Regions from separate parts of the Mus musculus genome. Here regions 2 and 3 are each reported to be linked to region 1. Evidence: microRNA targets listed by miRTarBase, many of them from high-throughput screens and not tested one by one. Region 1 holds a microRNA gene; each other region holds the end of a gene's coding sequence.
What was found. Region 1 holds the annotated microRNA mmu-miR-34b-5p (AGGCAGUGUAAUUAGCUGAUUGU, at 1,558-1,580, opposite strand). A microRNA usually pairs through its seed, bases 2 to 8, with sites in the 3' UTR of a target mRNA and lowers its output. Matches are read on the target gene's strand: a 7mer-m8 pairs with bases 2 to 8, a 7mer-A1 pairs with bases 2 to 7 and ends in A, and an 8mer does both.

Region 2: the mRNA of Foxp1 is a reported target of mmu-miR-34b-5p. Seed matches in the 3' UTR shown: 7mer-m8 at 764-770 and 7mer-A1 at 1,437-1,443.
Region 3: the mRNA of Atxn1l is a reported target of mmu-miR-34b-5p. Seed matches in the 3' UTR shown: 7mer-m8 at 1,606-1,612 and 7mer-m8 at 1,673-1,679.

The regions. Positions count from the first base shown.
Region 1 is chr9:51,102,053-51,105,140 of GRCm38, forward strand. Mir34b (microRNA 34b) reads right to left here and starts at 1,593; the gene lies at 1,510-1,593. It overlaps Mir34c (microRNA 34c), which reads right to left and starts at 1,058; the gene lies at 982-1,058. Hoatz (HOATZ cilia and flagella associated protein) reads right to left here and starts at 26. Exons shown (of 6, transcript NM_177702.4): 1 at 1-26. It also overlaps a transcript of Btg4 not described here.
Region 2 is chr6:98,927,251-98,930,338 of GRCm38, reverse strand. Foxp1 (forkhead box P1) reads left to right here. Exons shown (of 19, transcript NM_053202.2): 19 at 105-3,088. The coding sequence ends at 249. Among named protein-coding and RNA genes, the nearest start is that of Gm38865, 200 kb to the left of the region's middle.
Region 3 is chr8:109,729,134-109,732,221 of GRCm38, reverse strand. Atxn1l (ataxin 1-like) reads left to right here. Exons shown (of 4, transcript NM_001080930.2): 4 at 1-3,088. The coding sequence ends at 657. Among named protein-coding and RNA genes, the nearest start is that of Atxn1l, 7.1 kb to the left of the region's middle.

The DNA of each region.
Region 1 (3,088 bases):
GCCTGTGTTTCTTCTTCCGTAGATCTGGGGTTCCTCGAGGGCTTGTGGCCCATCAGCAGCTGGCTTCTGTCGAGGTCACAATTTTCGGGGCCAGTCAAGCCTTAAGAGTAAAAGCCTCAACTTTGTGATGTGTACAGTCCTGGACTGTCTCTTAGATCCTCAGCCAGCGTCTCCTCCTCCCCCAGATAGCCCAATAATGTGAGCTTTAAAGAGCGCCTTCCTCTTTTGGACAAGATTGCCAAGGCTTCGCACTCTTACCTCTGGGGAAATTCTCAGGTTTGCATTGATACATCTGCATAAAGCGCTAATCTAGAACTGGGCCGAGAAGTACCGGTGGATACAGCTTGTGTGATTTAAAACCTCTCAAATCTTTTATTACAGATATTAGGAAACCAGCTGGTTTTAAATCGTGTTCACTAATTATTCCCACGAAAAGTTGCCTAGAACGCAACTGTTAATACCTTAAAAAATATACCTGGTTAAGTGGGCTGAGTTCCCTTGCCCCATGGAAAATTATGAAAACATTTAACGTTCCCTTCCAGGTCACAATCATGTGTGAGACGTTTCCCTGGAGATTTTGTCTGTATAGCAACTAACCATTTAATGACTTTACGGGGTTGACAGGAGCTGAAATGGAGATCCTAAAGCCAGTTTTTGGAAAGGAAATGAACACGATTGCTGAGATTTTCGTGGCGCTTTATTTTTTAGAGTGTTATTAATATGTCAGGCAAAGTCCAAAGATTTATAATCACAAGTCAATATAATGACCAAATCAGCTAAGGGATAATTTCTATTTTTCCAATATATCTAAAAATCACAAAAAATGTACCCCACACAAATTGATACATTGTATACTTAGCAGCTAAGGGCTAGCGGTTCCCCCCCCCCCCCCAAACCACTAATAGTATGGTAAGAATATTTCCCTATGGCTCTGTCCTCACCAAAATGACGATTCACAGGAGGCTCAGTCGGAGGAATTTCAGTCTTTTTACCTGGCTGTGTGGTTAGTGATTGGTACTATTAGCAATCAGCTAACTACACTGCCTAGTAACTAGACTCAGAAAAAAGCATGCAGTCTTTAGCTGGTGCTCTCAGACTTTGGTGTGACCAGAGCAAATCGTCAGCCAAGCTGTGGTTGACTCTAGTCGCTGCCTTGGTGATAGCTTTCTCAGAAGTGGAAATCAGGCAGTGAATCACAGCAGCAGCAGGAACTGTTCTGGGGGGGGGGGGGGGGGGGCTCTTCCTGGCCTTTTTTTTTTTTTTTTTTTTTATGTTAAGGCCGGTGTATACCGATTCTCTTTACACATCACTGAACCGTTTTTGCTCTGGCTCTTACACACAGGTAGCCGAACGGTCCCTAAAGGAGGCCGCCGGTCTCCGAGGGTTACTTGCACTTAGACCTCGTGCTCCCGGCCCTTTGCTGACGCATCCTGGCTCCGGCCTCGGCTTTCTGCGGAGTCAGTGGGGCTGCAGCGCTGGCTTCTCCTCCCGCGGGCGGCGGGTGATGCTGTGCCTTGTTTTGATGGCAGTGGAGTTAGTGATTGTCAGCACCGCACTACAATCAGCTAATTACACTGCCTACAAACCGAGCACCGGGCGCCCGCCACTGCAGCTCCCGAGGGTCGGGCCCCTCGCCCCCTTTCGCCACGGTCGACAGGCGAGGGCGGCGGAGCGAGAGGTGCCTCAGGCTCCCGAGGCCCCTCCACACCCAGCAGGGCCGCGCGCGACCCCAGGTGAACCCCCAGGCGCTGAGGCCCCCTGTCCCCGCCGTCCCCCCCGAGACCCCCGACTCAGCCCGGACCCCAGGGCATCCGGCCCGAGTCCTTCTTCCCGCAAGCCGGGTCTGACCCGCCTCCAACAACTTCTTCACGGCTTCCAGACCCAAGTCTAGAGCCGGTTCTGTCCAGCCCGCGCGCCCCGCAGCTCCTACTGGCCGAGTGACCGTGGCTCAGCGACCAACCGCCCTTGGAACCCCGAGGCCGAGGGGGCGGGGCGAGTGGGGGAGGGGTGGCAGAAGCTACCAGAAGGGGCAATGGGAGGGCTCCTGCAGAGCCTCCTGGGAAGGGGCCGGGGAGATGGAGAGACAGATTCTTGAGAAGTTTATCTTCACAGTGTAGTTACTGCTACATCGAAGAAAGAAGCGCAGAGACCTACATCCATCTCTCCTTCCCAATATATTGCCCAAGAAGCCCCAGGCCTCCTCACTGTTCATATGCCCATTCTCAGAAACCGCTTCCCAGGCGTCTCATCTGGAGCCTTCCTGCCTGAGCAGGCCTGGGCACTCATACCTGCAGGATTGCCCTTGCCTGTACCCAAGTTCTTTCTTAGGACTACCTCTTACAGGGCCATACAGTGAAGTGTGGGCCACTCTTCTGGTCAAACATTGAACCAACACCCTTGTTGGTAGGTCAAAGTTGTGGCCCTTATAAGATCAAAGACACAGTTTTGATGATCTCCCCGTGAGCCTTGAGGATATCTAGTCTCACTTTGGGCTCCTGTTTTATTTAAATGTTACAAATCCAGCACCTAACAGGCGTTTGTCTTACTACCCATCAGACAGTCTAGGTGGTAACAAAATGTGAACACATTATTTATTACTCCAGACAGTATAAAGTTGCTAAACTGATAGATTTTCCTAATAGAAAAAAACAGGTATGGGTGGGGGTGGGAGGTGTGCCAACAAGAGCTGACAGACACCATCATGGAGGAGGTGAGAGTTCAGGTAGATCCTTGAAGCAAGGGTAGATTTGGACATTAAGGATGAGGTCTGTAGAAGCCCGAGAAGCCATATCTTCTGTCAGTTACATTCCCCTTGTTTTTGCTATTTTATATCTGATAACGGGGTGCGTGTTTGTGTATATTGGGAATAGGAGGCGCTGAGGGGACAGCATTTCTGCGCCATCTTCACTAATATTTCTTTCCTTTAGTCTTTCCTCTCCTTTCCTTTAATTAATTGAGCCCAGAGAGGATATACAGTATTCTCTGATTGCAAACTTTGTGGAATTCAGTAGGAAGTAGCCGTCCCAGACTGTGGTCTTCCTGTATGCTGTATGACACCCATTTGTATTGATCCAACAGTCTTGCAGTC
Region 2 (3,088 bases), not on the chromosome of region 1:
CCACTGGGCGGCATCTCTGTAGCACCTCTTGTAGGTTGCTCCAACACCAGCGTCAGGGCAATCCGGGTGTTCCCCTAAGCCTGTTTCTCTCTCTTTCTCTGTAGGCACCCCATACACGTCAAAGAAGAACCCCTCGACCCCGAGGAAGCTGAAGGCCCTCTGTCCTTAGTGACAACAGCCAACCACAGTCCAGATTTTGACCATGACAGAGATTACGAAGACGAACCAGTAAATGAGGACATGGAGTGAACCTCTGGGCGGGCCGACCCCCGAGACCGAAGATTGGGGAAAAAAAAGCAAAACAAATTTAAAAAAAAAATAAAAAAAGAAAGAAAGGAAAAGAAAAGAAACCACGTCAAAAGTTAGCAGTGAAACCCGCCCTCCGTTTCTTGTACAGTCTGGAGGATTTTCGCTACATTTTGACAACTCTGAAACGTGTTAACTCTTAGTGCCATCAAGAATCCCATTTGGGAGTATTTTTGATTTTTCTACTTTTTGTTGACAAAAGGGATTTGTACTCTGTGCATTGGATGGACCTGTTTGGTACTTGGGATTTTCCTCTTTGAGTCAACATCAGTGTTGTAAATTCGATAAACGGATTCACTTTTAGCAGCAGACTTTGAACTGCAGCTTCGCCCGGCTGATGCTGGGCGGGCGCCGAGGACACCCGACTGAGCTCACGTACCTGCGCTGCAGACCAAGCCTTCGCCCGAGTTCAAGACTCCAGTGGACGACCTTTTTGCACAGCGCTGCATGTTGATACCACTGCCTTTACTCACTTTGGTTTGTTTTGTTTTTGTTTTTCGCTTCCAGTTGGGATGGGGGAAGGCCTTTGTGTGTGTATTGGGGGGAGGGGTTAAAAATAATTATCCCAAATTTTTTAATGTATTGCTTTTTTTTTTTTCTTTTACTGTTTTTTTTTCTTTCTTTCTTTTTTTTTTTGGCTTCTTTACCATTTTAAGTTCTGACCTCAGGCCTCCATTTGGGCCCAGGGCCTCTTGGAGGCTTCGCGTTTTCTGTACCTTGTGATGAATGTTAATAGGCGTTTTTATTATACAGAGCTGAATGTCATTTCTCGTCTGTAGTTTTCTGGCACTCATTCCATTTTCCTATAGACATCACCATGTTTCTCTCAAGTTTAAAACAAAACAAAACAAAACATTCCGTTTTGGTCTTTTTCCAAAAAAAAAAAAAGAGAAAAGAAAAGAAAAAAAAAGATCCCAAAGGCTGCACCTTACACCTGAAGGTCCCCACACGGGGACATGACATCCTGCCAGTAAGAGAATGAATGACAGAAAAGGAAAGAGAGAAACGCACGCGCGCACACTCTAGGGACATGGCAGATTCATTTCACAAAAACAGTATTGGGGGTGGGATGGGGGACTGTTGGAGGTTTTTCTTTTTTTTCTTTTTCATAGCACCCACCATTGTGAGTAACTGCCACCACATTCTCTCAGCATCAGGAAACACAGCCACGAAAGAAACAGAAGAGAATAAACAATCCTCAATAGTTAGACTGTCACAGTGGCCATGGAAGATCTTCCCTCCTATAATCAGGTGACCAGGACCACAGGCCCTGTGCCATCCTCACCCGCACAGGTTGCTCTGTTTGCAAAATGACCAAAAAGCCAGCATGGTGACAGGGCTAAGTTTGTACAGTAGTTCAGACCTGCTCGGTGGCATTCATCTGTTTTAATGCAAATGAGACTTCACATTGAACTTGTTATGGGAGTTAATGAGGACTGAGCTCAGCAGACGCTAATGTGTCAGGTTCCAGTGTGCTAAGTCGGTACTGCAGCTTGGTCTGCAATGTGAGCACCACACCCACCACCCCAGTAGCACAGACTTCACGGAAGAGGACACCAGGTAGACAGACCAGGGCCCACAGAATGAGATGGCTCTAGGTCAATATGCCCTCGGCCCTTCAAACCCCTCCACATTTCCGTCTGCACCCGCTTCCCTGGCATGTATTTATCTGGGGCTGTAGCTTTTGTTTGGGTTTAGTTTGAGAGCCTTTCGGAGCTTAATTTATATACTTTGTACCTTTTTTTATTTCTAAAATTACCAAAGATATTACGCAAAGGTAAATTATTTTCTTTTATACTTTATCTGATGAAGCCAAATATCCTCTTATTGTTGATCAAAGGAGGCGAAAGGATTCAGAGGCAAATGATGAGGTCCAGGCTATTTGCCAACCTGAGGGAAATTACTGCCCGTCAGCAGAGTTCATTTAGCAGACTATGTAGGCAATGGAACCAAAGTTTTTTACTTTTTTTTTCCTGTTTTTTTTTTTTTTCTCTTTCCTTCTTTTCTCTACCTGTAGAGAGACCAAAACTAACTCCTATAAGGAGAAAATCCGGGGCTACTGCAGAGAAAAGAAATCAAGACAACAGTATTATAGCTCCTGTGGAAAGAATGGGCTAGCATCTCAAAGAAAAAGAAATGAATGTATGATGCTGAAAATTAGTATATAATCGAGGAGACACTTAGGATGAATTCAGAGAGAACGGAGAAGTGTCTGGCCGCTCGAGGCCACTTCTAGAATAAAGAGATTTTTAGAACATTCGTACGCCACTTTTGTTTAAGGGCTGTGCTCTGATCACTGCGTTAATCTTGGTTTATCCTGGCATTTATCCTCTGGTTTCCTTCTGCTTTTTGTTGATGTTTTGTTTTATTTTTTTCCTATTTCAGATTATGATTTGGTCAGTGTTTTTCATTTACACACAAAAAAAGCTAACATTCCCACCCACTCATAAGCTTAGAGTAGAACACCTTTGGCAATGACTTCTGAAGGTTTGCTCTGCTTTCTATAGAGGGGCGGTCTGTGGTTATTCATGCCCCCTCCACCACCACCCCACCCATCTTTTCCAGGCAGCTTCACAGTGTGCAGGCAGTAGCCAGGCCGGGTCATGGGAAGGGGGCCCTGTGCTTCTAAACTGAGTGGTTGCTGGTTAGATATACAAAAGAGGATAAAACTCTGGTAGGTTAGTTCATTCTCAGCATGTGTAGCTAGACAAGAGTAAAGATAACAGCATGGGGACTGTTAGTACGCACACCTCAGTTCAAACCTTTAGGGAATGAGTTTAAA
Region 3 (3,088 bases), not on the chromosome of region 1:
GGCGCCATCATTCAGCTGGCTACAGGGGAGCTGAAGCGGGTAGAGGACCTCCAGACCCAGGATTTTGTGCGAAGTGCGGAAGTGAGTGGGGGGCTGAAAATTGACTCTAGCACAGTCGTGGACATTCAGGAGAGCCAGTGGCCTGGATTTGTTATGCTGCATTTCGTGGTTGGTGAACAGCAGAGCAAAGTGAGCATTGAGGTGCCCCCTGAGCACCCTTTTTTTGTATATGGCCAGGGTTGGTCCTCCTGCAGCCCTGGGCGGACTGCACAACTCTTCTCTCTGCCCTGCCATCGGCTACAGGTGGGAGATGTCTGCATCTCTATCAGTTTACAGAGCTTGAACAGTAACTCAGTATCTCAGGCCAGCTGTGCTCCCCCAGGGCAGCTGGGTACACCCCGAGAAAGGCCTGAGAGGACAGTCTTGGGGCCCAGAGACCTATGTGACAGCGAGGGGAAGAACCAGCCTTCAGGAGAGGGTTCCCGGGTGGGAGAACCCTCCCAGCCTGAGCCTGGTGCTCAGGCCTGCTGGCCAGCCCCAAGCTTCCAAAGATTCAGCATGCAAGGGGAGGAGGCACGGGCTGCGATGCTCCGTCCCTCTTTCATTCCACAGGAGGTAAAGCTGTCCATCGAAGGGCGTTCCAATGCAGGAAAATGAACCTCTTTCCCAACCCAGGACTGGGGCTTTCTCCCCAGAGGTGAGCCTCTGTGAGCATCGAGAGGATTTGCACATGCCAAGCAGAGGGTGGCTCTCTTGGCAGTGAGATTTGGGGGAAACAGACATTAAGACAGCCTCCCAAAGCAGGGTGTGTTGCTCGTGACCCCATGGCACCCTCTCAGGACACCTTTAGAGGGTGCTGAGATGGGGACTTGCAGGCTTGGAGCAAGAAAGGGTAGGAGTGCACATAGGATAAGACACATTCCAAAATCAGGGCCTCCCTGTTTTTTCCTACTCATCCCTGGCTCCTACAAGGGAAAGTGCAGGCTTTGGGAGCAGGTGGCAGAGGGAGGAAGCAAAGAAAGAGCCAAATATGATGATCACAGCTTATAGTAGCAGTAAAACTGTTTTCTTTCTTTTTTCCTGTCTCCCTCCCGTCCTTTGTGGTGGGAGGGCAGGAGGCCCAATGGTTGAAAATAAGAGGGTTCCCGCCCAGAACTCTTCTTGTGAGAGATGTGCACTTTAAAGGGTGATTTTGTTACAGATGTTTATGGTGGGGTTGGGGGTTGGGGAGCACCATGATCTACGGGACTGTGCTTGGTCCTTTGCTTCTGCCCGTTCCCATCTCACCTCACCATTCCGCTATAAGGCTTTTTAGCATTTTAGGGCCAGGAGAGAGAGAGAGAGAGAGAAGCCCCTTCGGGTTTGAAAATGAAGGACTGCCTTGCCAGGAACCCAGTCGGGACTGTGGAGAAAAGATTTGACTGATAGATGTTGGGACTTAGGCAAAGCTTTTGAAAGGCCTCTAACCTAAACTCCCACCCAGCCTGTCAGGCCCGCTTTGATATTCATTCAGTCTGTAGTAGTAACTTCAGAAAGACCTGGAGGACCTTTCCCCTAGGCACCTACACTCCTCCATTGTCTGTCTATGTTGTGCCTTAGTGCCTGCACTGCCCCTACCCTTCTGCTGCCTGACCTCTGCATGGTGTCTTGACCTGGGCCTCATGTGTAGCTGCACTGCCTTTGTCCACTAAGACCTCTAGTTTTTGGTGTAAAAGGGTCCCTGGTTTCCCTATCAGCTATAATTTTTATATTTAGAAACTCAAAATCATGTCCTCTTCCACCGGCAGCAATATAGTGGAGAAACCAGAAAGAAACTGAGCCCTAGGCTGGGCATTCCCACTGCAGTGGACCTACTCGGCTTCCTCCCACTGCAATCCATTGCCTCTCAGCATTCCGGCCTAAGTTGCGCCCTCCCAGTATCAGCTCTGAAAGTCTAGGAATAGTCTTTGTAACATCTTAGCAGATGTGTCCTTGTATGCTGGTGGATTCTTCTAGAAAGTATTTTCTATCTTGGTTGTATTTGCTGCCATCTGTCTTATTCCCACATTTCCCTACAGCCCATAGTAGTGTCAGCGTGGACTGTAGGGCCCCATTGGGTATTAGGATTTAGGCTCCCCCACCCCCACCAACTTTAAAGTGGTTGAGTAATTTTTTTGTGAAGGTTTTTTGGGATGGGGTGGGGAGGGGTTCTTTAGACTCTTGAAGGCAACTCAGGGTATTGTCCACCCAGCTATGTAGTTAGACTTCTCCCAGGGAATGAGTGTGGCATTTCCTTCATAGATAGACCTGGCCTGTCACCAGGAGTCCTACACTTCTGAAGTATGAGCAAAGCTTAAGGTGAGTCTTGTGATATCTCTTTCACTTCCTCCCCAGCTGCCAAATGGGGATAAATAATCTTACCTACCTCCTGGGGGGGGGGGAGTTCTGAGAACGAAGTCATTCTTAGTGTTCAGGTGCTAAAGGTTGTTCTCTTTGGGAACAGAGTGACAAGAAACTGGCTAGTTTGCTATAAATCCTACATTCTGTTTGATACCTTGAGAGCAGATACCTGGTCAGCGAGCTTTTAGGGGGGGGCGTTCAAAGGAAGCTGTTTAGCCTGACCGCAAGTACTGAAGTCTCTGCTTTCTGTCAGAATCAACCACCGACCTTGTGCTGCATTGGAGATCACATCCTTTCCCTGTGTTGCCCCCATTTCTCTGCTGCTTCTCTGGCTTGTTTCCTACAGCGGGGGCCTGTGGGATTGAGTCTTGAGGAATTCTCTCAGATGAGAGCCATAGGAGATGGCCTCATCTCCTGACTGTTTCATGAACAACTCATTCCTAGGTGTTATTTGCATGTGTGGGTTTCTCACAAGGCTCCCTCCCTTCCTCAGAAGGTTCATCACGGAATTTCCTGACATGCACTGTAGATGCTACAAACATGTCTACCCAGGGTACCACTGAGCTACGTCTTCCTCATGGGGCAGACGTGATTGGCTCACAGTTGAAGTCAAATCACTGCTTGGGCTGCTTGTAGCGGAATCCTTGGAAAACAGTTGTTGAGGGCCTTGACAGATCGGGCCAGCGCTGACCTCTGTGCTCTGCTTCCT